Linked DNA regions of Rhinolophus ferrumequinum. The protein of the gene in region 3 interacts with the protein of the main gene of each other region in a pairwise test. Links are inferred from orthologs where the notes say so. Each region holds a gene or a part of one and is shown on either strand. Other genes may lie near its edges.

What was found.
Region 1: the proteins of SH3GLB1 (region 3) and HTATIP2 interact in binary tests that used the Homo sapiens proteins (3 or more experiments, as listed by UniProt). The link is inferred for Rhinolophus ferrumequinum from reciprocal best matches to the Homo sapiens genes SH3GLB1 and HTATIP2.
Region 2: the proteins of SH3GLB1 (region 3) and TPD52L2 interact in binary tests that used the Homo sapiens proteins (3 or more experiments, as listed by UniProt). The two-hybrid records come from large-scale screens. The link is inferred for Rhinolophus ferrumequinum from reciprocal best matches to the Homo sapiens genes SH3GLB1 and TPD52L2.
Region 4: the proteins of SH3GLB1 (region 3) and RIC8A interact in binary tests that used the Homo sapiens proteins (3 or more experiments, as listed by UniProt). The link is inferred for Rhinolophus ferrumequinum from reciprocal best matches to the Homo sapiens genes SH3GLB1 and RIC8A.

What each region holds. Positions count from the first base shown.
Region 1 is NC_046294.1:34,026,702-34,034,397, forward strand, and holds the start of HTATIP2 (oxidoreductase HTATIP2), read right to left. Parts: upstream 3,004-7,696; 5' UTR 2,911-3,003; coding exon of another isoform or gene 2,906-2,910; 5' UTR 2,866-2,905; coding exon 2,753-2,865; intron 2,444-2,752; exon of another isoform or gene 2,383-2,443; coding exon 2,187-2,382; intron 466-2,186; coding exon 358-465; intron 1-357. UniProt on the Homo sapiens protein: Represses translation by preventing reactivation of elongation factor eEF1A. May also inhibit nuclear import by competing with nuclear import substrates for binding to a subset of nuclear transport receptors.
Region 2 is NC_046306.1:288,533-296,425, forward strand, and holds the start of TPD52L2 (tumor protein D54), read right to left. Parts: upstream 3,013-7,893; 5' UTR 2,877-3,012; coding exon 2,858-2,876; intron 425-2,857; coding exon 279-424; intron 1-278. Other genes in the region: protein ABHD16B, read right to left, coding at 4,987-6,399.
Region 3 is NC_046292.1:65,169,253-65,176,352, reverse strand, and holds the start of SH3GLB1 (endophilin-B1), read right to left. Parts: upstream 3,010-7,100; 5' UTR 2,689-3,009; coding exon 2,617-2,688; intron 1-2,616. UniProt on the Homo sapiens protein: May be required for normal outer mitochondrial membrane dynamics. Required for coatomer-mediated retrograde transport in certain cells. May recruit other proteins to membranes with high curvature. May promote membrane fusion.
Region 4 is NC_046294.1:33,261-41,184, reverse strand, and holds the start of RIC8A (synembryn-A), read right to left. Parts: upstream 3,017-7,924; 5' UTR 2,867-3,016; coding exon 2,783-2,866; intron 2,499-2,782; coding exon 2,451-2,498; intron 2,364-2,450; coding exon 1,773-2,363; intron 1,369-1,772; coding exon 1,277-1,368; intron 719-1,276; coding exon 568-718; intron 1-567. Other genes in the region: BET1L (BET1-like protein), read left to right, coding at 4,721-4,935, 6,141-6,249, 6,511-6,567, 6,686-6,853.

The DNA.
Region 1 (7,696 bases), on a different chromosome or scaffold from region 3:
GACATTTATAAAGAAAAAGGAAGAAAAAAAATGCTTACTGCTAACAGCATGAGTCAGTTGGTTTACCTCAGCCAGGGTATATAGTGACAGCAATATTTGCAAGAGGCAAGACATTGTAAATATGTATGATGTCTCCAGCACACAGGCCTGAACTCAAGGATTACATTGAGGGAAAGATGAACTTATCAGCACTATTCAAAGTACAGCAAAGAATAGGGCAGCATATGAAATCTTAAATGATAAGAGCTTGTTTATATTTAAGCACTGCAAATGTAAAGGAAAAGAGTGAGCAAGAAAGGAATCTTTGACATTACTGGCCAGTGAAAAGAGAACGGGGTATATATAGTTCTTCCTTACCGCCCCGGCTTTTTTTCTGGTGGTACCCAGGCAACAGAATCCAACATCATGACCTTGAAAGGCAGCAGCATAGTCATCCAGCTTTTCAAAGTCCACCACTTTTTGATTCTAGATAGTAAAGACACAGCTGTATACAATTTGATGTTACCTTTTTAAAAAGACAAAATACCCTAGATTTAAAAAATCAATTAAGAACATTACTGAAGAGTCTACCCTCTTAACATCAAATTTTGCAAGCTCATTTCCTCCCACCAAAAAGCAATTAATCTAAATTCAAAATCAACAATGCGCTTATATGGACACAGTACACATAATTGAACTAGGGGTGATCCAGATCTCAAAAGTCACGTTCAATTATAATTTTCTCTCTGGAAAAATAAAAGACCTGTCTGTATATTGCCAAGAGGGATACCAATAAGGTATAATATGGGGGCAGGGAATGGTGTTTAGAATTTCAAAGACCTAGGTCCTAAGTCTTGGGCCAGCTAATTCCTAGGCCTGTAATTTTAGCCTATTTATCACGTGCCTCAGTTTTTCAGCAGTTAAATGCGAATGATAATCTTTCCTTCAGTCCAATCCATGAAGCACCTGCATTAAAATCAATCAGTGGGTGCTTGATAAAAGGGTGCATATTCTTAGGTCTATTCTTAGACCAATACTTCTGAGTCAGAAACTGCACTTTTAATAAGCACCCTTGGTAATTCTCACGCTCACTGAAATTTAAGAACCTCCATCTAACCTCATAAGTTTGTCATGAAACTTAAAAAAGAAAGTTTGAGAAATTCCCATCATACAAGAGTTGAAATATAATGTTGCTTTCCTTCCCTGCCCTCAACTCTTTCAAAATAATTTTCCTGGCACTGTACACAATGAAGAAAAAGATGTTTGCACAAAGTGCCTGACCAAAAGACGTGCAAAGCACAGAACTCGATTTCAGTTTCTAATTACCAGAAGTGTGTGACACGTCCCATAGAGCCAGACCACGAAGCCCACATGTTACTGCCTAAGTCTGAGCAAAGATATCCATTTTAAACAGAAAAGTCCTGGTGGACCAAAGACATATGCAAAATGACCTGAATAGGACCTGCAGGAGTCACGAACATTTATTTGTGAGACCATCTGGAATGTTCTACCTGTGAAACCTGTGGGACCAAGTCCTACAATTATGGGGTCTCGGGATTATACTATAGTTCAATTTACTTAAGTTCACGAATTCAGTTTAAATGCAGGGGAAGGAATTTCTATAAAGCTCAGACTTCAAATATTTAGGGGATCTGCACCAGACTGAATTTGTGTATCATTTGGTTAACCATGAAAGTGTAAGTGACAGTCAGGGGAATATTACACTTACAGACACAAGGCTGCAGCCCTGGCAAGTCAGGCAGGGCAAATTCTTGAAAGGGAATGAACAACACTTCCACAGCCATAGACCTTCCCTGTTTGGCAAAGCATTTTCTGATTCACTAACGTTAGTGAGGATGGGACAGGGAGACAAAACAAGCAAAGTGGACTGCCTCTAGAACCCAGCATTGAATGACCCTGGAAGTGTTGTTCTCCGTCTCCACAGCCTCCATTACAAACTACACCCAGCCTAACAGGTGCCAAGACTGAGAGGACTTTGCCCAACGTTATACAGTGAGGGAGGCGGATCTGGGCCCACAACCCAGGACTCCAGCTTTCAGTAAGGGCTCTCACAGACCAGTCTTGGCACATTCTGATCAGCTCTTGCCGCTTCCATTAGCCGGGCAATGGTCAGCCTTTAAGCATGAAATATTTCACCCCGCAGAATGACTGTTGGTACATTTTTGAGTCCCAGCGCCAATACCCACCACATTTTTATAAGCTTCCTCATCAAAGGTCAGTTTCCTCCGGCCAATGACTGTGACTCTGGAAAACAGGCCCTGTTCCAGGATTTCTTTTAAGAGCACTCTGCCGGTTTCCCCACTGGCGCCCAGAATAAAGACGGATTTATTCTGCATCTTGAAGTCTTCCCGAAGCTTCGGCAGCGCCTCTGTCTCGGCCATGCTACAGAAATAACATCAACAGGTGCTGATCTTCGGCTGTTTAAGGGGTGGCCTGGCTTACCCTGGGTAACAAGGATTATTTATTCGTGCTGGAGGAAGAGATTGTTATTGTCCGTAGCCTGGGCCCAGGGGAAAGGACTGAGTCACCTGCAGGGCGGGGTTTCTTGGCACATCCCCAGCACCTGAGACAACCCACACCTCGGAAGGGAACACAAACTGCTGGCACCAAAAGGCCTCGTTCCCCCACGGTACCCTTAGTTCGGATCCCTCCTTCCTCCGCCCACAGGGTACGGGGGAGAGGGGACAGGAGGGAGGGGGAAAGAGAGGGAGGAGGCGGGGACCCAGCTCGGTCCCCTACGTGGAGGGGTTACCTGGAGCTGGCCCCCAGCCCTGCGTCCTCAAGCGGCAGCAGAAGCAAGGCAGCCACCAGGGCGGCCAGCAGCGCCGCCACCGCCGCAGCGCTCAGTGCCACAGGCCTGAGCATCCGGGCATCCCTCCTTCCCAAGGGTTCCTTGTCCTCTCACCCCATTCGGTGGGCGCCCCTCCCAGGTCCGCCTCAGGTATCGAAGGCGAACAAGCCCGTGCCTACTGCACTTAGTCTTCCGGGTGACTTTCGGGTCGCTGCTAGCCCCGCCCACAGGGGCGGGACCTGGGGAAGAGAGCACTAGTCAGACCAGAAGTTTGGGCTCTGGTTGCACCCGCCCAGGAGCACGTGCGCAGCACCGGGCAAGGTACGGTGCTCCGAGACCTCCAGGACCCTCTCCTCGGCGTTCTTCCTCATCACCTGGGCTGAGCTTACCCACATCCACGGCCTCAGCCAACAGACTTGACTTTGGCTGATCCCTTTCAAAACCTGCAATTTCAAATGTGTGCTGGAAATCTGCATCTCGAATTCACCATGTCAAATCCAACCACCCCAAACAGGAATAAAACAAACCGATTCCTTGCCTCTCTTGGGTGTCACTGTCCCTATACATGCACACACTCCTCATCCCTCCCCTCTAGGCGTCCTAGTGACTGGAAGCACAGTATTCATCAACCCTGGCAGACTCTACCCTGGGAGGTAAGGCAGGACACCTATTTTACGGCTGTAGCCCCAGCTCTTGGGGCAGTGTTTAGCACTTAGTAGTTGCTCAAGAACATTTTTTGCATGGATGGATTTCTTTATATCTTAGAGGAGACTAAGAGGTCAAACATTCTTACTTTACAGATGATGCCCGAGGATGTGCATGACTTGTGCCAGTAGTAAGCCTCGGGCAGTCTCTTTAATAGAGACAACACAGGGCAGGGTTAAAGAGGTGGTGGGTAGAAAACATGAGAAGGGGCTCACGGGCAAAGGGTGCCCTGCCACACCACCCTCATGTCCTGCCAGAGCTCAGCTCCTTCCCCACCTCAAAGACAGTCCCTTTCTGAGGGGGAATTCTGTTGAGATAGCATGTCTTCTTTCTAATAAAGAGGAAGCAACATGAGGAAGGCACATAAAGAACCTAAAGGTCCCATGCAGCGAAGGAGCGAGCACCAGATGGAACTGAGGGTTTATTTAAGATATGGGGCCAAATGACGAGGGAAAACAGAGATGTCATGAGCCCTGAAAGTCAAGAAGAAGTGAAGAGATGGTGTATTCGTGTCTTACCGCTGCTGTAAGTAACAAATGACCACAAACTGGGTTGCTTACAACAACAGAAATTTATTCTCTCACAGTTCTAGATGCCAGAAATTTGAAATAAGGTGTCAGCAAGGCCATGTTCCCTCTGGAGGCTCTAGGGGAGAATGTTTCCTTGCTTCTTCCAGCTTCTGGTGGCTCCAGGCATTGCTTGGCTTGCAGCTACAAAAGTCTAATCTCTGCCTCTGTCATCACATGGCATTCTCCTCTGTGTTTATATGTCTTCTCTTCTGTCTCATATAAGAATACTTGTCTTTGGATTTAGGGCACACCCCAGATAATCCAGGATGGTCTCATCTGGAGATCCTTAGCTTAACTGCATCTGTAAAGATCCTTTTTTCCAAACAAGTTCACATTCACAAGTTCTCGGGATTAGGAGGTATAACTATCATTTTGGGGGCCACTATTCAACCCACTACAGATGGCAAACAGGACAAATGTTAGTCAAATTTTAAGAAAAAGTGTTGCTTGATGAGCTCTACTCTTAGTGAATGAAGATGAAGCTGGAAGTAATGTGCAGAGAAGGGATAAAGATAGAAGAGGGCTTTTGGTTAAAGCTCTTGCCAGAGTAACCTGTGGGATGAAGGCATAGACCAAAGCAGTCACTGCAGGAAAGAGGAGGAAGTAACGCATTTAAAAGACCTTATAAAATAGCTATCGTATTTAGTTATTTGAAGTTCTCTGCAACATTATGGGAAGAACATGGGACTTCAAATTAGAAGATCCATTTATAAGCCCCAGGTAGTGCATTGACTAGCTGTGTACATTTGGTCAAGTCCTTAGTTTTAGTCTGCTCATCTATAAATTGGGGGTAATAGCAAAACCAGCAGACTGCACAGATTTATAACAAAGTTCAAATTAGACACCACATGGGAAGGCAGTATAGGCTGGCAGTTAACTGTACAGGCCATGGCATCAGACCACCTGGTTTAAAATCCTGGCTCTGTCACCAGCTAGCTAAGTGACTTTGGGTGAGTTCCTTACACTTTCTGTGTGTTGGTTTTCCCATTTATAAGTATAAATGATAATAATTACCTAAATTATAAAGTTTCTATTGAAGGGTTAAATGAGATGATCCAAATTAATGCACTTAGTACCTATCATGTAGTAAACATGGAATAAATAGTATATTATTATGGAAAAGAACTTTGTAAACATCTAAGTACTATGGCAGTGACTTCCAATTCTGGTTACACATGGGCATTTCTTGAAGCTTTAGAAAAATAACAATGCCAGGGTCGTGCCCTAGACCTACAGAATCAGGATCAGTGGTTTTTAAAGCTCTTCAAATGATTCTGCTGCACAGTGAAAGGAGAAATTCACCATGGCAGAACATGTTATTAAGATCCATTTCCCAATAATATCCCTAAGGAGAATAGATACATAGTCTTTTCATTAGGAAGACCATAGAGTAAGCTGAAGCAACCTGGACTTCACTTCCAGTTTTTTAAAAAGCACTTATATAGCAGTTGATATATTCCAAGTACCATTAATCACTTTGTATGTATTAGCTCATTTAATAACTGCAATATCCTTATGAAGCAGGGATTATTATTATAGATAAGGAAACTGAGGCACAGAGAGGTTAAACAGCTCACCAAAAGTCACCCAGTTAGAAAGTGGTAGAGCCAGCATAGGAAATACAGTCTTCTGGCTCAAACAACCACACCAATCAGATTCTCTCAAAACTGTAGTGTCTCTCAAAACATGTAGTCTTTCTAAACCTCAGTTTCCTTATCTGTAAAATGGGGATAATAACATTTCTTACTTCATAGGGGCCTTGTGAAAATGAAGTGAGATACTGCATGTAAAGCACTGAGTAATGTATTTAGTATCTACTAAGCACTAGATGAGTCAGCCATTATTTTAATAATTTTAATGTTATCACTAATTATTCAGTTTCATGGAAATATAATGCAGGTTCCAGCTTAAGACTAAGTTTCCAAAATAGCAGCCTGTTCATCCATTTTCTGAGGCACGACACCTGATCCAAGGCAATGAGGGAGCTGTTATTTGCACTTCCTATCTAAGCCTCTGTTCCTTTCCAGGGGTCCCACGTAAAAGTCCTATGGGGCACAGGGAGACTTGAAAAGCTAAAAGGCCTATTTCACTAGTGAACAAACAAAAAGCTCTGCAAAACATTGAAGAACAATCAGCACAGCTTCGAGGGCCCCTTTAAGTGAAGAAAAAGTGAGAGGAGAGTGGGTATGCTTTCTTCTTCCCAAGAGAACCTGCAGCTTTAACTTCTCAAGGAATTCAGAGAGTTGGGATGTGTGTGTGTGTGTGTGTGTGTGTTGTATGAGTCTCTAGGAATAGGAACTGAAGGAAATTCAAACTGATAAGGTTAATTATGGCCTAGTGGGACTAGGGAAACCCAGGTGACACAACATTTTACAATTCCTGACACTAATTAGAGTACATGCAGAGAGGGAAAACAAAAGTTTAATCTGTAAGGTTGTGTGTGTGTGTGTGTGTGTGTGTGTGTGTGTGTGTGTGTGTGTCCTGGGTGTAGAAAATAAACCCAGATTCAGTTTCCTGAATGCATCAGCAGTCCTGATTACTTTCCACCACAAAGCACAAGAGGGCGCCAAAGAAGGTGAAAATTTTTGTTTTCCAGGAAACCACTCAATGTTAGAAAATTCTCTCTGATGTTTTTATATAAGGATGCTTACTATTCTCTTGATTTTTAAAAAATGAAATAACTATGTGTGTAAGTTTATTGGCTACTACTTATGAGTGAGGTGGGTAGTTAGTTTACAAATGAAAAAGATAAAATAAGTAAACAATAAAGTAAGTAAACTGGAGAAGGCAGAAGGTAATGGAGATTGCTAGTAATTAATTCCTTTGTCAAACATGTATTAGTTGCTGTTTGTGTGCCTACTAGTTAAATGCTGTGGGTGCAAAGATAAATTAACCTACAATTTTGTATTGAACTCATTAGTAACATCAGAAGTCAAAATATTCATACCTTATTTTTTCTTATTTGAAACTTTCCTTATCCTCTTCACATATTTACCCTTTAATGTTCTCAAAGGAAGTTTGTGTAGTGGTTAAGCACAAAGGTTTTGAAGTAAGACAGCTGGGCTCAATTCCCAGTCCTGCCACTTTCTAGCTATTAACCTCTCTGTGTCCTAGTTTCCTCATTTGCAAAATGGGATGATTATAGTACCTGCCTCATTGGATGCTGTGAAGATTAAATGAGATAACCCCATGCAAAGTGCTTGAAACTGTGTCATATTTAAAAGCTCAGTGCCTCTTAATTCTTATTCAGATACTACCCATCCTTGGAAGTCCAGCTGAGATCATAGACAGAAAGATTGGCCCATAAGGCATTGTTTGATATAATTATTCAGGCCAATAAATTCTCTTTTGGTTCAGTCACTTCCAACTGAAAGACTCTTGAGCGATATAGCAGCTATATTTATTAATTTCTTAATTTGTGTCAGTTACTGTGTGATACAGTTTCCATATCTTATCCGTTTTATCTTTTAATCCTCATAATAGCTCTATGAGGTAAAGATAAGATAGGTACTGATATTATTCCCATTTTACAGATGAGGACTCTGAGAGTAAAAACCGTTAAGTAACTCACCTAAGACAGCACAACTAATAAATGGAAGAATCAACATCTGATTCCATTCCTAGTCTTACT
Region 2 (7,893 bases), on a different chromosome or scaffold from region 3:
AAGATTGAGGGGCAGATAAGACTCATGGGGTCTTGAAAACATGGTATTAATTCCAACAGAGAGACTGCCAGCAGAGGGTGTGCCCGGAGTGGCTGTCCCTGTGTGGCCATCCTCAGGCAGCAGTGACCAGTGCCAGGCACGTACAAAGCACAGGATACAAAGGGCAGTTTCTCTGGGGCTCCAGGGACAGCCTCTCAGGGTAATTTCTGCCAGCACAGCCAGCATCGCAGTCTCTCATGAGCTTACAGGCTTCGCCTGCTGGTAACCCCGGACAGCACCTTGGTGAGCTCGGCCCTGAGCTCCTCCTCCTCGGCCTCCGTCAGCCCCTCCACGGCAGGAGTCTGGGCAGCCACTGCAGTGTCAACAGGGACATCTGTCATGGAGTCGGACAGCAGGCCTTTGTTAGGAGAATTCAGGTTGATATCTGCCAGGGACAAAATGAGGCCAGAGAGCGGCAAGTAAGAAGGTACAGAGAAGTAAACAGGGTAGAGGGCTCCACCAAGGGAGAGAGCAAGGCTGAAAGGACAGGGGGCCAGGGGCAAGGGGCAGGGGGTTGGGAGAGGGAGCCGGGGACTAACAGTGCCTCTGCTCTCAAAGGTTCTGTGAGGACTGTGTGGCCACTGGACTGCAGCAGCCACACCACAGTCCACTCCGATGCTGCTTCTGGGCCCGAGACACGCGGTGCACGGCAGCCATACCCTAACTCTGTTTCCCCTGTGGAGTGTTACCTTCTGAGACAGGAAACCTTCGCTACAAAGCAGCCCGATCTAACAGATCTGCCATTTTTAGAGCAAAGGAACCCAATACGGCTGTACACACAACAAGCACCACTTTCCAAACACTGATCTGCCAGAGCGCACACCACACTCACAGCCATGGAGCACGCGCTTGTCACCAGCCCCGCAGGGTTTCGGCAAAACAAAAGTCCCTGTGAGTCCATCCTGGGCCCTCACAGGCAGGGCCCGCAGCTCACAGTGGGTGCAGAGGGCACAGTGTCTCCACCCCTCTGCTATGCCCAGATCAGGTTCATGTTCCTGCAGCTCACAGTAAATTCAGCTTTCTTTCTACATGAACTTTGGAAGATCCCATGCAAGGAAACATGGGTCTGCTCAGTTCTTTCCAACTCTAGACATACGACTGTCATTTAGTACATTTACACTCTCAGCACTGAAAACACCCTCCCTTTGATCAGCACACTCTGTGAAGAAACAGACGTTGTACGGAGTGTGGCACGTTTAAAAATCAGTTAAAAGAAAAGGCACAGAGGTTAGAAAGCAGTAGACGTCTCCTTAATGGCAGGTATGTTTGTCCACTGTAGAAATCCTAGTCTGCTAAATATAGACTGAGTGCAATCAAAAGCAAAGATGCCTTCTTAGCCCCCCACATGTCCTGCAACTGGAGCTGTGTACGTCCTTGGTGCTCAACAGGTGTTTACTACATGAAGTTGATTCTGATGTTTAACTGAAATCACCTACCTGACTTCATCATTTGTACCCTTTATGCTGAACCCACTCAAATTCAGTAAATGCCTTAAAAAAAACGCCACAGGTTTTATCTTCTAATCTGGCTATAAAGCTAAAATTGGATCCCATGGAAGTCACCCCCAGGTAGAAACTGGGCACTTACCAAACATGCCAGGCACTGGACATGCTGGTGACACCACCTCAGCACACCCCGCAGCTAGATGCCTCCTTAGAGGACGCCGAGGCAGCCAAGTGTCTTATCAAAGGACCCACAGAGACTAAGCGTGGGGCTGGTGCCATAGGCAAATCTGGGGGCCAGAGTCCTTCACCCTGGGAGCCCCAGCTGTCTAACCCTGTATACTCATCTGCAAAATGCAGCCAAGACAAGGACACTCTACTCTCAGAGGGTTATTCTGAAAGTGGAAGGAGATCATTTGAGACACAAGCTTAGCAAGGTGTCTGGCACACAGTTAAGTGCCCAGTTACTGTGTCCTGTCTGTCTCACCATCAGAGCCCAGGGCTTGTGACACTGACCTAAATCAGAGGTGCAAGTCCAACCGTGAAAAGCCTCCTGAAGTATCAAAGCCCTGGGCTTTTCATGCTCAATTATTTTGTAAGTCGTCCTCAAAAGTAGGAAAGTCTACAGAATGTCATCAGAAGCGAGGGATTCTAACGTTTAAGGTCAAACAGCAGGAAAGCTTGCTGAGATTCTCCCGTGAAGTTATGTCAACGCAGGCATTCGGCACCGCCTCCCCGGAGCCTCAGGATGAGGACTGACTTGTATCACCTTCTGCAGATTTTAATCTCCCGGGCCCGCTCCACACCCCCCGGCGGCATCTCCGACTGCTCTGGGCTGTCTGGTCTGGAAGCAGGCCAGGTGTGCCGGGTGTGCCCCTGACTCACTGCACCCTTCCCTCCGGGAGACGATCCCGAAGTCGGCGGGGCCCCGAGCGGCGTCGCCACCCAAGGGGCGCTGCGCTCCACGCGAGGGCGGGTCACCTCCCCTCCGCGTCCCTCCCCGCGAGCCGCGCACAACACCTCAGCCCAGATCCAGATGGGAGTGTCTCCAAAGGCCCGGGCACGGACGGAGAGCGGCCGAGCGGCCGAGCGGGCGAGCGCCGGGCGGTGGCATAATGAGCGCTGCCCGGAGTGAGAAAACCCAAAACTCGGGGAACCAAGGGAGGGTCCCAGCGGAGGGAAGCGGCCCAAGCCGCGGGCGGAAGACCCTCGCCACGACCACCGGGAGCTTCGCGGTCGAGCGCCTGGGAGCTGACCACCGGCCGGGGGCGGGCGGGCGGAGGAGGTGACAGAGAGACCCAGACGCGACCCCGGGGAGGGCGGAGCGTGGGCCGGTCCGGGCCCGCAGGCGACGGAGGCGCCGCGTCCGCGGGTACCTTGGCCAGCAGAGTCCATGTTCAGGCGGCGTACGGGCCTGCGGGGTCGCGGGCGCTGTAGTAGCTGAGCGGGCCGCACTGGGAGTCGCTCGCCGCGCACACACCAGCCAGCGGAACCGCCTCAGCCGCCGCGACATTACGTAATCAGCGAGGCGACGGCCCACTTCCGCTTTGACGTGCGCTCCGCCTTCGTCCCGCCCTCACCAGCGCTGTCCAATAAGGGCGTTGCTTGGCCCAGTCCCTGTTCATCCGCTCCAACCCGATTGGTCACGGCTGAGAACGAAGCCGGACAGGAATCCCTCCCAGGCCGGCTCCACCAGCGAGACGCACAGGTAGAACGGTCCGAAGGAACCCTGGGAAGGTGGGAAGTGGGAAGATCGTCCAACATGGCGCCGTGGAGCCTCTCCACCCCCGCCCTGTGGAGGTCTCGGGGATGCTTGCCGCTCCCTACGAGCGCCACAGCACACGCAGCTGGACGGGTCAAACTCAGACCGCTTGCGATCCCTCCAAGGCCCGACTCCCTGACTTAGGGGTTAGCCTTTCCCTCCAGTCTGTCTTTTTGTTGTTGTTTAGTCCGTCCATTTACGGAGATTTTTTTATTGTATGGGGGTTGCGTAGAAAAAGACGTGACCACGATCCGTCCTCTTGCGCTGCAAGCGCCGCTGCCCTCACCTGGTTGGAGGCGTCTAGGTTCCCGGGCGGGCACCGGGCGTCATGCACGCGCAGGGCATGAGCACGCCTGCCGGGAAGCGCTCCGGCCCTGTGCAGCGTTCGGCCGGTGTTCTCGCAGTTCCTTTTCACAGCCACGGGTTGAACCAGGTGGAGCCCTCCCCGCTTTACAGATGAGGACACTTAGGTTAGAGTCACTTGCCCAAGGTCACTCAGCTAGTTGAGGGGCTTCCAGCAGACTCTGGAATGAGAGTTGGCCTAACTTCTCATAGGAGATATGTGTAACTGTCTGGCAACCTGTCTGTCTCCCTGAGACAAGTCCCACAACTTACCATCTTTGTCACCTAATTGCCCCTGGAAGCAAATCCTTCAATGGTATTCAGACCCTTCAGGATTTGACTTTTCTGGAACTACTCTCCTTGCAACCGAGCCACTCTGATCCCTAGGCACACAAGCCCCTTCCCTCACCTCCTGACTAATTCCTCTTCCTGTCTTAGCTCAAAGCTCACCTCCTCATCACAGACATCTTCCTGGTACTTTGGTCACTTTAAGTACCTGCCTCTGCTTTCACTGGCCAAGGTGCATCATGGCTGTACCCTGTGCTGGTGTGATCAGTTACTCATATGTGCGCCCCACTTACCTTTTTCAGTTTTTCCAGAGTTTCTTTCTCAACCCACCCCGGCCAGCCCTTGTCCCCAGAGGCAAGGGACACCCAGCAAGCAGTCCCTGCTTCATGCCGTTCAGGGCAGATGGCAAGGAAGCAACTCTATGACAAGTGGTGGTGAGCAGAGAGTTTGTCTCTTTCTGCATTGCATCCCTGAGCCAGGAACAAAGCCCAGTCCAGGTCTGGCTCAAGGAGGTGCTCGGCAGTGAGTGGCAGTGCAGGTGTGTCTGCAGCCCTGTGTGGGCTTGCCGCTGTGTGTACCTGTTCCTTTGAGACTGTGGTCCCACAGAGACTGTGCATGCCTCTGGTAGAAGCTAGGAGCGGAGGGGGGAGGGGACACTACGGAGCAGCAGCATCACACTCCAGGAAGGTGCAGCTGCTAAGACCTGCTCTATACACCTCCGATGCCAACGTCCTTTACAGCTGGGGGCGACTTGCACAGACCCTTCCACACCGTCCTTCCCAGAGCCAGCCTGTAACTCAGGCCAGGTGAAGGGCACGGCCTAGGGCTCCCACCATCCTTTTGAGGTGATCAAGGCACCCATCACACAGCTTGCCAATAGTTGGGTCAGCTTAATCTTTGCATTCCCTTTAGGGGTTGAGAGCAGACTGGGACATCCACAAGTGTTCGAGGGAGGAAGAGAAAGAAGGGAGTGGGGAACACCCTCCCCTCCCCCAGACACCAGGTCGGGATCCCCAGGCGGGACCAGCTTCACTGGTCGGTGTGTGGGGAGGAGAACGGACCTGAGGCCCAGAAGGTGTGCGAATATGCAGTCTGGCGCTGCAAGGGGACGGGCTACAGCCTCCAGGGCAACTGGAAGTCCTCAGGCTCCAGCGGACTGCAGTGAGTCGCCTCCACGTTCTTGAGGTGCTTGCGCGCCAGGAACAGCGCGAGCTGCCGGCGCCGCCGTGGGCTGAGGCCCTGACCCACGAGCCACGGGAAGGCGAGCCCGTGGGGCCCCCAGGCCTCCTCGTCCTCCTGCTTGTCGTCGCAGCTCGCGCGGTAGGAGCGCAGCAGTTCCAGGCACCACTCGTCGTCCACGTGGTAGCGCGCGTAGAAAGCGGCCTCCTGTGCCAGGCTGCCAGCGCGCAGCCAGCGAGTCACGATGGCGAGGCCCTCACGCGCCATCACAGCCGGGTAGCGGTGCTGCAACAGGCGCAGTAGCAGCTCATTGCCGCGGTTGCTTTCCACGTCGCTGGACGGCAGGGGGCGCAGGTGGCCCGAAGTGCTGACCACGTCGTCCTGCGTGCGCCGGAGCAGCAGCACCGGCCCGGGGTAGAGGCACAGCTGCTCTGCTACATTGAGGTTGAAGTGCTCGCGCACGGTGCGCACCACCAGTCCCTTCCAGCTGTGGGGCATGACCTTCACGGCCAGCGGCACGAGGTCGTCGAAGGTGGCATCGAGGACCAGTGCACCCAGCTCCGGGTATGTCATGGTGGCCCAGGTGGCCGTGAAGCCGCCAATGGACCAGCCATAGACCACCACGTGTGCAGGCGGGAAGTGCAGGCGGTGCAGCGCGTACTTGACCACCACGTCCATGGCGTTGGCGTCGTGCTGAGGGAAGGGCTCGCCGGTGCTGCCCCCGAAGCCCGGGTGGTTCCAGCCCAGCACCGAGTAGCCGGCTTCCAGCGGCGCCGACAGGCATCCCATCTCGTAGAAGCCGGCGTTACCTTCGCAGCAGATGACCAGGCGCAGGCCGCGACCGCTGCTGCCCGGGTGCTGCCGGCGATCCATGAACATGGTGTCGATCTCGTTGCCGTCACAGGCCACCAGCTTGGCGCGCCGGCCGAGGTAGCGCTCCACGAGGCGCTCTTGGCCCTGCTGCAGCAGCGGCAGCAGCGCGCGCGTCATCAGGAACATGGAGCCGGGGTACACGAGCCAGCGGCCCAGGGAGTGGGCCAGTGCGTAGCTGGCAAGCTGGGCCGGCAGCTCGCGGATCTGCTGCAGGAGGCAGAGCGCCTGGCTGCGCGCCCCCCGCATTGGCCTCCCAGGCGCGTCCCCACCCAGCGCCGCTCCCTGCAGCAGCCACACGCCGGCTGCAGCCGCCGCGCATGTTAGCGCGCCGTAAACGCTGCCACCCGGTCCGGCGGCGCGCACGTCATCCCAGCGGAAGTCCACCGGCCAGCTGCGGAAGTTGTAGGTGTAATTGGCGGACAGGTAGATCTTGAACACGTGCACCAGCGCCTTCACGAAGCAGACCACACACATGGGCGTCGAAGCTACTGGGTGCTCCTCGCTAACCCTAATGCCCGGTCCCTGGGCCGGGGTCGAGGTGGGAGGCCCAGGCCCAGCCCGCCGCGGGGCTGTCTTGGGACATGCCTCCTCAGGGCTTGGTCTTAATGGCCTTTGTGACCTGGGCCTTCAAGGGCCCAGAAGAGGCTGGCTTTGTGAGTCACTGTTGCTGGGGGGAGACGCGACACCCAGTGATGGGCTCACAAAGGGTTCCCAGGTGTGGGGGCCCTCAAGTTGTGCCCCGCCCCTGGGACACAGCCTTCCAGCCCATGGCGGCCACACCCCTCCCAGGCCCTCCTCCGCCTGTATCTTCCCCTGTCCCATGCCACCCACACCTTGAGCGCACCTCTCCTCCTCAAACTGAAGGTGGATAGACAGGCCAGAAGTTGACAGCCTTAACCTCTTCCTGAGCGGAGGCCGGGGTCTCACTGGGGAAAATGCAGGGCTTCCCAGGACCCTGGACCAAGCTTGCTGTGGGACCTTCCCCAACTTCTGGAGGTCCCTGCGCGGTTGGGAAGGGAGCCGGGCAGGCAGAAGCAGCTGTGGGATCAGGCTGTGTGAGAGTTGGCAAAGACTATGTAGTCGTGTCCAGGAGAAGGCTGGGGTAGCAGTTCCCTGCCCAGGCCTATGCTAGGTGCCCCCAGCTCTCCCAGTGCGAGGGAGCTCCCCAGGAAATCCCACTCTGCACCACCCTGGAGAGCAGCAGAGGCCAGCTGGTGGGGCTGCTGCTGGAGCCCCCAGGCTGTTTGCTCATGGTTTGCGTCCCCCATCCCTCCACATCTTCCTTCCCAGGAAAGGGGGTGAGTGCAGGCTGGAAACCCCCGTCTGGTCTGGATCCTGTTTCCTCTGGTTCCAGCAGAGGCAATGACCTTCTCCAGGTAGGTCCTGCCTGGCCAGGGTTCCTCATTTTCAGCCCCTGGTCGAGCACTCCTCCCCTGAAACCACCCACGAGCTGTACCTTCCTCTTTTCTAGAGGCCTCTGATGGGTTCCCCTTTTTCTACTGCATCAGAGAGGGCCAGTCCACCTGCGGGCAAAGGTGACAGGGAGAGACACCACCCAGGGGAGCCAGGGAAGAGCTGGACTCGGGGCTCATTCAACAGTTGCTGTGCCTGCAACAGGGAGTTTGTCGACCCCCCGCGAGACCCTTGGAGCCCAGGACCCAGGCCTGCCTCAGAGACCCCAACCTCTGGGGAGGGGCTTCCAGAGCCAGCAGCCCCTCTCTGCTCCCCTGTGTGTCTGGGTCAGGGGCGCTGCCGGCCCACTCGGCCCCTACGATGTTGGGAAGAGCAGGGGACATTTGCTGTCCTTAGGCGTGGGGGGGTCGGGAGGGGTCAGGTGGCAGTGAGTGGGTTAGGAGGGTTGAATGTCCTCCCGGGGTTTCCAGATATAATACAGAGCACCCAGTTACATTTGAATTTCACATAAAGAACAGATACTTTGAGTATAAGTATGTCCTAAATATTGCATGG
Region 3 (7,100 bases):
ACAGATTTACTATAAAAACACATATTAAAGGAACCTGTTCCTCCTGAATTTTTTCCCTTCTTATTAAATGGTTCAAGTCAACACCTTGGGGTCATCCTTGACTATCTTCCTCTCATACCCCCGAGTCAGTCTAAGGAGTACTGGATAGATTCTGAATCTTCCCTGCTATCACTCTTACTAAGTCACATTTTGCCTGTCCTATGGCCATAGTTCCCTAACGGGTCTGCCTAGTACCCCTGTAACCTCAGAGTCTTTGCACTTGTTCCTTTTGCCTAAAGTGCTTTTCTCCAAAAAAACTGTGAACTGTGACTTCCTTGAGGTCCCCTCCTATTAGAAAGGCTTGCCCTGATCATGTCTATACAACATGGCAACAGCTGCCACCTGTGCCATTAACCAATCCCTTCTGGCCTTTTTCTCCATCACCACCTGATGTATTCACTCGTTTGTCATCTCCTGCTAGATTGTAAGCTCTGGAAGGGCAGATGTTTTGTTGATTTTATTCACTGCAGTATCACCAATGTCCAAAATAGTAGGGATAAGCAGACATGAAGTAAACACTTAAGTTTTTAAGACTCAAAATTATTCGACAGTTCACAGATTAGAATACAATTTAAAAGCTTTTTCCTAAAGAATTTGAAACAATGAGTAATTATAATTCATCTGGAAAGTAGTACATCTTGTGAGAGCTTTGCCAGATTTTAAAAAGTGAGTCTACTGACAAGCTAAAGAAAATTCTACTATGTGTACTATTTAAGCAGTGTGGATTATATACCTGAAAACGTATCTAGCTATCTAAAAGAGTGGCATTATATAGTGTAAAATCTGCATTCAGCATCTAGAATCATAGGGAATCAGCACTAAAGCAATACCAAAGGCTCTGCCTCTCTCCTGCCTCTTTTGCCGTCAACATTAAGTCTCAAAATCAAACTTAATTTCAGACTCTCAATTCACTCACTCTTCTTGTACCTTGTCTTTGAACTATTTTAAGTAGGCTAATTTAAATCAAGAAATTATTTTAACGATAAGGTTCAATGTCTTTACAATGTATCTTATATTTTAATGGAAGATGGGGGAGAGAGGGTTAAGGCAGCTAGATTCACCATGCAGATTTTAAAACTTGGAAATCAAGAACTAGAAGGAATTTCCCATTTTTTAATTGTTACTTAAGTGTTACGGAAATGCTTAGATCGGAAATGCTTAGATCGTACTAGATGATCCTGAAGGTCTCTTTAGGCTGTAACATTCTATTATTCTATATATCCTAAACCTGCAGTGTTTATCCAGGAAGAGAGAAGTGGCTTGCAATAAGTAGTAGGTCAGCAAGTACTCGGCTATTTACTAGCCATGCAAGTTAAGCAAGTTAGTTAACCTCTCTGAGGCTGCTTCTTTATATATAAAAGGAGGTTAACGTTAGTAACATCTATCTGGCAAAGTTACAGAAAGGACTGGAGATAATTCGATAAATGTCTAGCGAAATGTGTGACAGTTTTTTCACAACACAGGCAGCTAGTACCTTGTTCTAGTTCTACCATGCTTTTGCCAAGCCTAGTGCAATGTAAGATCCACTGTGCCAGTAAAATTGGGGTAATGGAGACAAGGAAAGTAGTAAAGCAATACAACTGTTTTACATTTCAGTATCCATTTGATACCCGTATTAGAAAACTTGTTTTCTCTTTACAAAGGAGAATGCTGTTGCTACTGTGACTATGTCATTAACTTAAACACCAGATCGTTTATAACCCATGTTGCGGTGAAATTTACATCTGTTCATAGATTTCACTGAGTTGACATAATGTGGGTGATGTAGGAAACTGTCCAAGTTCTCCAGTACTGACACTTCCTTGTGGGGGTCCTCGAGATGCTTAACTTTGCCCCTTAAAGTGTGTTTGAAACAGACCGCTGTGACTACAGGCACAACATAAATCTCTCCCCTCGCTCTCCTCGCCCTACTGCCGGTGCTTCCCATTTTGAGAATGAGTGGAAAGCCCCAAACTCCTTGTTTCCCCTTGGCCTTGGCAAAGTCGGGACGCCAACTGGCGATCTCCATTTCTCCCGCGGGCTGCCAAGCCCAGGGGCCGTCCTTTCATGGAGAGAGAGGGCTGGAAGGAACTGTGTTGGCAGCTCTTTGGGTTGAAGGGCAGGAAAAGGAAAAAAACTTCCTTCTTAGACTCACTCGGCGGGGAGGGCGAAAGAGAGGAAAGGAAAGAGTGGGGGTGGTGCAAGAACAGTTTGTCTCTCTGCTACCCCCGCGGGACTCGCGAGGCCTCCGCCCGCCCCAGGAGGGAGGTCACACGAGCAGCCGCGTCGGGGTCAGAAAGGCGGGCGGTGCGGTGCCTCGGCTCGAGGCCGAACCCAAGGTGTCCTCCAGGGGCGGGAGGAGACGCCAGGCTCCGTCCCCACCCCACCTCGCTTTCCGGGAGCGGAGGGTGGGCAGAAGGGGTACAGAAAACTGACGCCAGGCCCTCAGGGGCACCAGGCCGCACCCATCAGCCGGGCCTCCGGCCGCAGCTCTCCCGCCGTGCGGTCAGCTAGACTGGGTGCGGAGGCCTCCGGCTGGGCGCTCCGACGTCCCCGCCTTGGCCCCGCGGCTCACCGCCACCCGCCCAACCCCAGTACCTGTACAGCACGGCTGAGGAAGGTGCCCGCGTCAGCCGCCAACTTCTTCACGTTGAAGTCCATGATGTTCATCCTGGGCGGCAGCCGGGCGGAGCTGCCGGCTGACCTAGCGGGGAGGCGGAGGCGCCTCGGCCGGGCTGGGGCGCCGGCAGGGAGTGGCGGGGGCAGACGTGGTAGGTGGAGGGAGGCGGCGCCAGCTCCGCCGCCGCAGCTGTCGTTTCCGTCAAGGGGGAGCGAGAGGGCGGGGCGAGGGGCGAGAACGCACGCCTCCGAGCCCGACGGGCGGCGGCGGCGGTGGCCGAGAGGTAGGGCCTGTCCAGTCCCGAGGGTGGCCGCTAACGTCCCGCTGGCAGCGGGGGGCGAGCAGAAGACGAACAGACTGGCGTTCTGACCCTGTGGGGCCGGGGCCCCAACGGAGCAAGCGGGCGCCGGCCGCGGGGCGGGGCCTTTATAGAGGTTATCGCGGGAACAGCGACCCCTTCAGGACCGCCGCGGTATAGCCGCGGGGCGTGCGGGTAGCTTGGCCTGCTCCTTCCTCCCCAAGGAGTGTCGTGTTCGCTGCGAGGGGCGCGCCACAGGGCCGCAGCAGTGCTGCGCGCTTGTAGTTAAGTCCGTGAGAACCAAGAGCAGAAACAACTCAAACCCACCTCTTTATTTTAAGACAAAATATGGAAATTGTAGCAAAGAATTACAGTATCTGTGAAATAGAAACAACAGCTCCGTCATCTTGTAGCACCTGTGCCCAGCTGCTCTCTGACGCCTGGATGGCATTCGGTTGCCTATGTTTGCAGGCCCCCGCCGGGCCTGTTGTTTCTTCATTCTTTCAAAATTATTGATATCTATTGTGTACAGGACTGAATCTAGTGTTGGAGATATCATGCTGAGATAAAATTGGGGTAATCCCTGGACAAGACTTTGTCCTTGCCCTCAAGAAGCTCTCCGTTCCTTTACTTAACAACCTTCAGGGATTTCTCCATCCCCAGTGGAAGCTCTTAACTATTTGCTGCCGCCACAGGACTTGGTGACTGCCTGAAGGCAGCATGCACCTGCTGAGATACAGGACCAATCTTAGGTGCCTGCTTTGTCCAGAGTATGGTGCCTGGGACACAAAGTGCCAAGTGGGGGACACTAAGAATTATAAAATGGTGAGTGAGATAGAATAACCCTTAAAGATTCAGGGTAGTGAATTTAATAACAAATGATAATATGATGTGAAATCTGTTCAAAACCCCCTAATTCCGAGTAACTTCCTAACCAGTCTTCATGATACAGCCTATAGTTGAACTAAATTAGAACAGGTGCAAGCATGGAGAAAGACATTAGTATATCAAGAATAAGAAAACACTGTATTTTTTGTGTTGCTGTGCCCTTTTGTTACATTAGGGCTGGGAAAATGCAGGCCCAGCAGGCAATAAAATTAGCTTGGATTCATGCTTGGTTTACTGAAACAGCAACCACAGAAAGAGTGGCTGTTGTTAAAGTCTGAAAGATTAGTTCCTAAAGGTATTATAAGGAACAGCAGATAATATTTGTGTTCTTTTATTATTTATGGTGGTGACAAAAACAACCACTTCTTTTTAAGATAACTCCAATAGAATGACTCTACAGGACAAAAATATTACATGTGTCTTTCATATAAGCCTGTTTTTCCAGAAATATGGGACAGAAAATATATAATTAGTAATCTTGTTTTTCTTTTATTGTCCATTTTAGATTTATATGTGGAAAAGCACTCTCTCTTCACAGATGTCTATCTTCACAATAAGTACATTTGCCATAATCTATGTCCATTTCTACAAAAGAATCATAGCATCACATCCACCCTTATAGGAAGAAACTCTGGGTCCTCTTCTTCAAAGGTGTAGATCTTCCTGACTTGGAAGACGCCTTCACATCTTCCTGTTGAGCCCACTATAGCTGTAATACTGTTTCTCTTGTTTCACTGACAGAGTCACACGACTATAGTGTACTGCCTCAATTTTCTTATCATCTATTTCCTGCTTAATTCCACGTAGTTGACTTCCACTTCTGTAACTATACCTAAAAACCATTTTTGAGGTTGCCAATTATATTCTTTTTAAAAAGTTTTTAAAAAGATTTTTATTAAAATATAGCTAACATACAATATTATTAGTTTCAGGTGTGCACCATATATTCAACATTTATATACCTAAAGAAATGATCACCACAAGTCCAGCAACCATCTGACACCGTACCACGTTATCACAATCTTGTTGACTATATTCCGTATGCTGTACATTACATCCCCGTGATTTATTTGTTTTATACCTGGAGATTTGGACCTTTTGTTCCCCTTCACCTTTTCTCCCTTTAAAAATTTTTCAATTATAGTTGACATTCAATATTAGTTTATATTAATTTCAGGTGTGCAGCATAGTGGTTAGACATTTGTATAATTTAAGAAGTGATCCCCCTGCCTAGTCTAGGACTCACCTGGCACTACACATAGTTATTACCGTATTATTGACTATATTCCCTGTGCTTTACTTTACATTCCCTTGACTGTTTTGTAACTATCAGTTTGTAGTTCTTAATCCTGTCACCTTTTTCATTCTGCCCCAAACCCTCTCCCATCTATCACCCCAACAAATCTAGTACCCACCTGACACCATACTTATTACAAGATTATTGACTATATTCCTTATTCTATACCCTACATCCCCATAACTACTTTGTAACAACTAATTTGTACTTCTTAATCCCTTCCCCTTTTTCACTCACTCCCAACCCTTCTCCCATCTGGCAACCATCAATATGTTCTCTGTGTCTATGAGTTTGTTTCTGTTTTGTTTGTTTGTTTTGATCTTTAGATTCCACATGTAAATGAAATCACATTGCATCTGTCTTTCTCTGTTTGACACCCCACTCAGCATAATATCCCTTCGGTCCATCCAGGCCACTACAGATGGCAAGAACCCATTCCCTTCCTTGGCCAAGCAATATTCCATATATATGTATAAGCTCCTCTGTATCCATTCTTCCATCAACAGACACCCAGGTTGTCTCCATATCTTGGCCATTGTAAACAATGCTGCAATGAACATATGGATGCACACATTCCCTTGAAGTAGCATTTGGGTTTCTTCAGATAAATACCCTGAAGTGAGATTACCGGGTCCTTCTTTGTGTCTTGTTATAGCCTTTGTTTTAAAGTCTATTTTGTCTGGTATAAGTATTGTTACCCCAGCTTTTTTGTTTGTTTGTTTTCGTTTCCATTAAATATCTTTTTCCATCCCTTTACTTTTTGTCTGTGTATCTTCCAGTCTGAAGGGAGTCTCTTGTAGGCAGTATATATTGTTTTCTTATCCATTCAGCCCTCCTATGTCTTTTGATTGGAACATTTAATCCATTTACATTGAAAGTAATTGTTGATAGATATGTAGCAATTATCATTTGATTACTCATAATTTTGATTTTTCCCCCTTTCTTAAAGAAGTCCCTCTAACAGTCCTTTTAATACTGGTTGGGTGGTAATGAATTCCTTCAGCTTTTTCTTGTCTGGGAAGCTCTTTACCTGTCCTTTGATTCTAAATGATAGCTTTGCTGGGTAGAGTAATCTTCGTTGTAGGGCCTTGTTTTTTATCATGTAGAATATTTTATGTCAATCCCTTCTGGCCTGCAAAGTTTCTGTTGAGAAATCAGCTAACAGTCTCATGGGAGCTGCCTTATAAGTGACGAGTTGCCTTTCTCTTGCTGCTTTTGGGATTCTCTTTGTCTTTAACCTTTGCCATTCTAATTATAATATGAATTGGTGTGGGCCTGTTTGGGTTCATCTTGTTTGGGACTCTTTGCACTTCCTGGACTTGTATGTCTATTTCCTTCACCAGGTTAGGAAAGTTTTCAGTCATTATTTCTTCAAATACGTTCTCAATCCCTTCTTTCTCTTTTCTCCTTCTGGCACTCCTATGATGCAAGTATTGGTGTGCTTGATGTTGTCTCAAAGGCCCCTTAAACTATCCTTATTTTCTAAGATTTTTTTTTTAATATAATTTTTTGCTGCTCTGATCGGGTGTTTTCTGCTGCCTTATCTTCCATATCGCTGATTCGATCCTCTGCTTCATTTAGTCTGCTGGTGATTCCTTCTAGTATAGTCTTCATTTCAGTTATTGTGTTCTTTATTTCTTACTGGTTCTTTTTTATGGTTTCTATGTTATTTTATATGCTTTCAGTCTCTTTGTTGAAGTTCTCACTAAGTTCCTTGGGCATCCTTATGAGCATTGTTTTGAACTCTGTATTCTGGTAGGTTCCTTGTCTCCATTTTGTTTAGTTCTTTTTCTGGAGCTTTCTCCTGTTCTTTCATTTGGGACGTATTTTTTTGTTTCCTTATTTTGGCTGCCTCTCTGTGTTTGTTTCTATGTATTAGGTAGGTTTGCTATGTCTCGCAGTCTTGGCTGGGTGTCCTTATGTAGTAGGTACCCTGTGGAGCCCAGTGTCACAGTCTCCCTGGTCACCTGCACTGGGTG
Region 4 (7,924 bases), on a different chromosome or scaffold from region 3:
CCCAGCACCAGCAGCGGTAGTGCTAGGAACAGATGGTCATGGCTAGTGTGTCCACTGCTGGGCACATGGCCTAGCCCACCATGCACGTGAGTGTGGGTTCCCGAGAGTCTGTGCTGTGCGGCGTGCACATCCACGAGCTCCCGGAGGGCTGCTGAGAGCCCCTGCCGGCCACTGTGCTCAGATGCAGGCACCTGTGGGTCACGGGACAGTTGACGCCAGTACCCGAGAAATTCCTATGCAGTGACACTAAGACTCTGGAGTCCCAAGCAGGGGCTGGGGGGCTTCTCAGGACCATTCAGGAGGGAGCCCCCCACAGGTCTGAGAAAGAAGCACTCTGGTTGACTGAAGACGCTCCACGGGAAGCTGCACAGTCAACCTCCCTGGCATGTGTGCTTCTCAGGGCAGAGGGCCTGGCTTCCTGCCCGGTTGGACCCGTGAGGCTGGGGGCCCAAACCATGGCACTGAGCCCGTCTCCATTCACCAGTGTGGACTTTGCAAAAGCTGTGGCCACAGCTGCTTGGGAAGCCAGAGCCAATGGGCAGCCCCCACAGCAGGACCCCTGCCCACCTGGTGCAGACGCTTCTCCAGGAAGCTGAGGAGGACACGGATCACATCCATGTTCACGCCCAGGAACTCCAGGGACCCTTCCTGCGGTTCCAGGGTGAGGAGGACATCCAGACACTGGAGGGGCAAGTTCCCCAAGAGGTTCACTGTGTGGCTGGGGACAGACGGGGGCGGGGGGCCTGCTAAATCCAGTCCCCTAGCACAGGCACAACCCTTGGTGTACCCTGCTGGGCTCCACACAACATGAACCTAAGGAGCAGCACCAGGAACCGAGGCTGAAGGGGCACTGACCTCGGGCACTCCTGCCCAGTGGGGTAGGTCCCCAAGAAGGGCAGCACTCTGTGCAGATGCCCCACCTGCCACCCTCTGTCTGGGCTAAAACATCATAGGCAATCTCTGGGAAACCAGGGTCTGCCTATGCACAGGGCACCGAAAACAGCGGTAAGGAACTACGTCGCCCTGTAGATACCATGCCACCCACTGCCACTACCCGAGGTCCAGTGGCACTTTCCTGTCCACACACAACAGCTCTTATCCTAGTACGTATTGCAAGTGCCGGGCTCTCTGGAAACACACTGATGTCTAGTCCCACTCAGATGGAAGATTCTGCAGGGTGGAGCCCGGTCCACTGGCTGGGCTGGGAACCCCATCTACGCTACCTTCTACACTGGTGAGCACACTTCCCTCCCGGGATGACAGGCCCCACACTCACCCATGGAACTCCTCCGTGCGGTCTCCAGCAGCAGCCACCATCACACAGTGCCGCAGGAGGGTCCCCAGGTGCCGGTAAAGGGCAGCATCTTCCTGACAAAGAAAAAGGTTCCTGTGACAGAGAGCCACAGTTGTCCCACCGCTGCCAGCTGGCGTGGTGTCTACCCCAGTCCAAGACCACGTGTAGTGACGTGCATCTTGTTGAGTGTATGCCCCAGCCCCCCAGAAAGAGCAATGCAGCCCCTTGGGAGTGCATCCCACTGTTTCCCAGCCCCCATGCACTCTGGTGGCAGGAGTCACCTGCAGCCTCTCACCACAGCCCTCCTGCCAGGCTCTAGGAGCCCTGGCCTCCGCGTCCCTCAGAAACCCTCCTCGAGGCCTCAGAACTGGTGTCTCCTTGCCTCCTGCCTCCTCCCTGTGTCAGACACCCGTCGGCAAGGCACGCTGACTACCCAGCAGCGTTACGCGAGCACCAGCCACCGCGCAGGTCGACTCACCTGGTCCACCTCCCTCTTAACAGAGTCGAACGTGATGTTGAAAAGCACCTTGAGGATCTCCATGGCCCGCTCTGTCTCCTGGGGAGGAAGAGACCTCGGGGTGCTGTCTTTGGGGGTCACCCCCAGCGTCAGCTCCAGCGCCTCTGTCAGTAGACGCACACCCTGCAGCTCCTGAAACAGCTGCTGGCGAACGTCGGCACGCAGCGCCGTCAACAGGAAGAGGAGGCGCAAGTCAAAGAACTGGACGTCGTGCGGGACGCCGCTCTCCCCGTGCAGCCCCACGCGCTCCGCCAGGCTCACCACCAGGCGGGCCTCTGCTGCCAGCACCTGTGCCTCCGGGCTGCTGAGCACCAGGTTGCACAGGCACTTGAGGGCCTCGAGGACAATGTCCATGTTCAGGGCCTTAGGAGCTAACCCCGCGGAGCCGGAGATGCCAGCATAGCAGGCCAGTGCCTGCAGGCTCTGGCGGCTGGTGAAGGGGTCCAGGCAGCTGCGGTCCCTGGACAGGATGCGGATGCTCTGCAGCCAGGTGACGCGGCGGGAGAGCGGCAAGCCCTGCTCCAGGCCCAAAACCAGCAGCTCCGCCAGCCTCTGTGGGCGGAGGGAAGAGTGGCTGCAGCAGGCGTGTCGGCCAGCGACCGCCCGTCCCTTCTCCTTCACCCCTCGGGCAGCACCCACCTTCCTGTCCTCCTGTTGGGCGTCCTCAAACGTGAAGCTCTGGGAATTCTGCAGAGAGACCCAAAGACTCAGGGAGCACAGGTGCACACGGGCAGGGCCCGGGTTCCCAGGAGGGCCCTGAGGCCGCAGGGACCCCTCTGCAAAGGAGCCCCACCCCTACACACCTGTTCCCGGGGCGCGCACCCCGACTCGCCCCCCAGCAACGCCTCGTAGACTCTGCGCCCCGCCCCTCCGCGCTCCCTCCCACACTCACGCACCCGCTGCCGGCCACGCGCGTGCCCCACCCTGCCCCACCGCCTCCTCGCACGTCCCACGTCCACGGCTCCGCTCACCTCCAGGTTGTACGTGCGCAGAGCCTCCATAATTACGTCCTCCTCTCCCGTCTCCACGGCATCCGCAACCGCACCGGGATCCATGGCGCCCCCGGCACGCGGCGCCGGGAAGGAGGGAGGGGCCACGCTCCGCGGTTCCGGACCGGACTCCAAACGCCTCTCCCTGACTCGATGCGTGGGGGTCGCCGGGACCGGCGTGCGCGGCGCCGCGGGGCGGGGCGGAGCTCGCGCGGGGTACGCCGGGACGGGCGTGCGCGCCGCCGCGGGGCGGGGCCTGGGCTGCGTGCGCCTGGCGGTGGCGGGGCTGGGAGCTGGCAGGCTCTGCCTCCGGGTCAGCACGGGCTTCAAGCTCCGACTCGGTGATGTTTGGAATTCGGGGCCTCGTGACTGCCCCCGCTTCTTGTGCCGGAATTCCCGGCAGGAGAGGACCGCAGCCCCCAAACCCCCACCACGCGCACAACAGCGCTCCTCTGGAGCCGCCCCACGAATGCGATGTCGGGGCAAAGCCGAGGTGAAAAGGACTTTGCAGCCCTGTGACCACTTGGTTTGTTACGTGTTCGAGTGACTGCTGCATGCGAGGCGCTGGGATGCGGGTAAACAGGACCCACACGTCCCTGTCTTCGTGGCGCTGACGTTCCAAAAGTCAAGGGCAGCCAAGAAAAAACGGACAAACGAGACGACTTCAGGCAGTCGTAGTGCTGTGATTTAAAACAGAAAGGCGTGTGGTTGTAACCGAGCGGTTTGCTCCCCCCTGCGCTGCGCGTAGCCAGTTACACTGACACTGGGTTGCCCTGAAGGAAGCCTTTATTGTAGACCGCCATGCATTGGAGAACCAGCAGCTTACGCGGGAAGAACCCGAACTCCCTGTCCGCTTGTTGGCAATTGGTTTTAAAGGGTGAAATGGAGGGTAGGGGGTCTTCAATACGTTATCAGTTCCGGGGTACCATATGATTGGTTGGAGCTGGAGTTACAAAGACATCTTAGTTCTGGTCATCAGTTCTCTGGCGCCAGCTAGCCTGATGTTTACGTGCCTGTTGGAGGTTTTGTAAAAACACTTCCAGGTACGCGTCAGTGTGTTAGCTGTGAATCCACAGGGCGAATTGGTGCCCCAGGAGCCTGATTTATGTCTGAGAAAAAAAAAAAGGGACTTGGGTCTGATTTGTTACAAACAAGAAACAGCGGGGGTCGGGGGGGTTTGCTGAGAAGGGATCGTGTCTGGGCTGCGTGGTGCGCTGCAAAGGGCTCTGCGGTGGCATTTTTTCTGAGACAGGACGCTAAGAAGTGAGCCAGGAAAGGACGTGGGGGAAGGTGATTCAAGGCAGGAGCAGCCACTTGGCAGTTGGAGAATGGCCATGGGGGAGAGAGGAGTGTGGGGAGGTCAGGATGAAGGCAGCGCCTGATCACGTGTCCGGCGCGACTTCCCAGCTGTGTAATCGGGACACACTGCCTGGCCTGTACTCAGTCTCCTCTTTTGAAAAGCACAGGTGATAAAAATTCCCATTCCAATGGTTTGTGAGGACTTATGACAGCAAATGATGTCTTCGGTGGGTGACTCCTGCAGCAAGTCTTTGTTGGGCATCCCGGTTGCGCCAGGCCCTTTGTCAGCAACGCCCGCGTGCAAAAGCGGGAAGCTCCTACCGGCCACACGTCCCCGCCACTTCCACCCCACCCCTGCCTCGCCGCACCGTCTTGTCGGAGCGCTTCACCCCTACGTCTCCTGCGGCGCTCGCTCGTTGCGGGCACCGATCTCCGCCGCGTCCCTCCAGCATTAACTGGGGCCGGGACTTCGCCACGAACCTGCGCCTTAACCGCACCGCGGCGGGCGGGGGCGGCTCCTGTCCGGACCTCGCCGCCCCTCTCTCGCCTGGGTAAGGGCCATTTGGGACCTGACGCAGCCTTCGGCGAGAGTGACGAGTGTATGTCAACACCCTCACCGGCATGGAACACACTGACGCCCCGTCCGCAAGTCAGGCCACTTCTGCTCCCACCGCACGGCCCCCGCGGCCCGGATCTCAGCCGGAAGCCGGCGGGCCCGAGCGGAAGGGGCGGGGCCGGAAGCCCCGTCCCGTGACGGCCACGTCGCCGGAGCCTGTGGCGGAAGCGTTGACGGAGCCCGGGGCCGGAGCCGCGCACGATGGCGGACTGGGCTCGGGGTGAGCGCGGGAGAGTGGAGCCGGTGGCGGCGGCCCGGCCGTCGTCGACGCCGCTGCCAGCAAGAGCCCGGCCGGCTGGGTGGCTTTGGCGGGTTGACCCGCTGGCGGGCGGAGCCAGGCCGGGCCGACCAGGCGTCAGCCGGCCCCGCCCCGCCGCCCCTGAGGGGTCGCCGGACCCGGGGGTGTCCCCGCCCTTCCCCATCGCGCAGCTGCGGGGGCCCGACGGCCACGGCCCCCACCGTCCGCACGGGCCGCAGGCCAGCCCCCGGGAGCGGAGGCTGCGTGCTGGGAGGGCGGAAGCAGGCCTCGTGGTGACTGGGGCCTGGGCTCCGAGGGCCTCGGGGAGCCCCGCCCGATGCTGATGCCGCTTTGCCGAGCTGTTTGGTCCTTAGGAGTCAGTGAACGCGAAGGGGCTGGTGGGACGTAACACCCTTTCCTTAGGGGTCTGCACATCGGTGATTCCCAGGGCTGCTCCCCCATTAGAGGGGTCACGTCGAGGCTTCTGCCCCACGGCAGGTGTACACTCTTAAGTGGGGGGCAGGTGGTTTCCACACGCCTGATGTGCCGGTAATTGCGAATCACCTGGCCCCGCCCTAGTCACTGGCAGGTCTCAGCAGGCACCACGCCCTGTGTGGGTCGCAGCCCTGATCAAATGTCATCCCTGCCCTTGGGGTCTGTTTTGGGCAGCACTGCTCAGTTGTCGGCGCTCTGGTTACTTGTCACCTCACCAGGACCCAGTTCACAGGTGTCCCCTGCAGGGACCTTCCTGCTGCCCCCTGGGTGCCTCTCCTATACCTTTCCTACATCCACACCAGTTTACTGTTTATCTCGTAAAACAGGTCCCATGTACACCATTGGTGACATCCATGGAGGGATGGTACAGGTGGTGTCATAGTACCCCAAAGTGCCAGTTTCACTGAATTGTTTGTGGTTGTACACTTTGGGGGTGCCTGCCTGTCCCGGCCTGGACATGTGCTCAGGCCATGCGCTCACACAACAGGTGGTCACGCACACTGTCACCCAGCCTGTCTCATGTGCGAAGTCCTTGCACCAGCCCCTGGGGTACAACTGGACCTGCTCAACAAACAGGTGGACCCCGTTCCCCCAGACATGACACTTGGCCAGATGGGATCGTAGTGGGAGTCCTGAGGTCACGAAGGGCCAATGCACAGGGTCAAGGGCTCATGGGTGGTTGTCCCCCTCAGCCTCTCTCTTCCTGCAGCTCAGAGCTCTGGCGCTGTGGAGGAGATTCTAGACCGGGAGAACAAGCGGATAGCCGACAGCCTGGCCTCCAAAGTCACCAGGCTCAAATCGGTCAGTAGTGGCCTCTTCTACCTCCACCTGGACCTGCTCAGGTGGGATGAGAGGGAGGGTAGAGTCCTGGAAGGGTTAAATGTGCTTCCCGTCCTTCTGTCCCATCCATGGCAGCGGTCACCTGTGTGAGGGCCAGGTGACATCTGGACCTGACTTCTGGTGGTGGCAGGGTTGTTGGCAGCGTCTGCTGGTCTTGTCGGGGGTCAGGCGCTGTCCCGTATGTCTGCCCTGGCCTGACCCTGCCCCTTCTGTCCTGACCAGCTGGCCCTGGACATTGATAGAGATGCTGAGGACCAGAACCGGTACCTGGATGGCATGGTAAGGGTCTGCGACGTGCATGAATGTCGTGGGCAGCTCTGCCCTGTACTGCCTGCTTAGCCCCCCACCCCATGCACACGGCAGCGCCCGTGTGACCCAGCTGGGATTCCTCCCGCAGGACTCGGATTTCATGAGCGTGACAGGCCTGCTCACGGGCAGCGTGAAGCGCTTTTCCACAATGACGCGGTCTGGGCGAGACAACCGAAAGCTGCTGTGCGGCATGGCCTTGGGCCTGGTCGTGCTGTTCTTCATCCTTTCGTACCTCCTGTCCAGGGCAAGGACGTGAGCCAGTGGGAGCTGGCTTCTGCGGGTGCCCGGGCTACCAAGGTCTTCCCTACCTGGTGTCCTGGGCTCCAGAGGACCTGCCTACAAAATACTCCTTTGAAATGATGACCGTGGCTTAGGCATCTTCTTCCTGTGTGGCCGGGAGCCCACGGCTGCCTCTGACTCAGCTGTGTTGGCTGGTCCCATGTGTGCAAGGGCCCAGGTGCGAGAGGCACTGGCAGAGCCATGCCTGAGCAGAACAGCTGGACGTCCTGGACACGGCTGCTCGGGGCCAGCAGCCCTTTACAGGCCCTTGGCTCTGATGTCTCAAGGCTCCTCTGCCCGGTCATCTTTGTCTGGTAAGGTCACATCTGGTGTCCGAGGTGCCTGGACCTGACACAGGAAGCGGGTGTGGCTATGGGCCTCTACTCAGCGCCATCTCCTCCAAGCAAGAGTCTTCAGCCCAGGGGTGGGAGTTACTCCTGGCTCGGGCTGCCGAGCACGGGCCCACCGCCAGGCCTCTGCCTGAAGCCAGACCTTCGGGGAAGGGCAGGGGTGTGGACGAAGGAGCGGCTGCAGTCGTGGCTGGAGGCACTGGACCTTCATCCTTCTGGATCTCGCGGCTGTGTATGTGTCAGGGTTTAAGATCTTTCCAGCACCAAAGATGTAGTTCCAGGAGAGCAGGGCTGCAGAAACGGGCCCATCTGGCACTTCCGAGTCAGGCAGGGGCAGGGAGGGGGCTTCCCTGCACCAACCCTCCTCATGGGGCCCGTAGGTCACTTTGTCAGGGTCACTGGGCAGTTTCCTCCCACAGCGAGTGTCCCCTTGCTGTGCATGAGCTCTGAGCCACACCCTCGTCCCCAGCTCCTGCACATGCCCGCCCCGCTCCCCTTTCCCTTACTGCCCACATGGCCAGCCCCCGGCTCACACAAAGCAAACCACAGGCCCAGCCAGGCCAGTGGCTTCTCACCCCACAGTGAGAACCCAGCACCCTTGACATGAAAACACGTGTTAGAAAAGGGGTCCCCGTCGGCTCTGCCCTTGTGCCTGTCTTCTGCCTTCCCAGTCGCGCCCCTGTCCACCCACCTGCCCC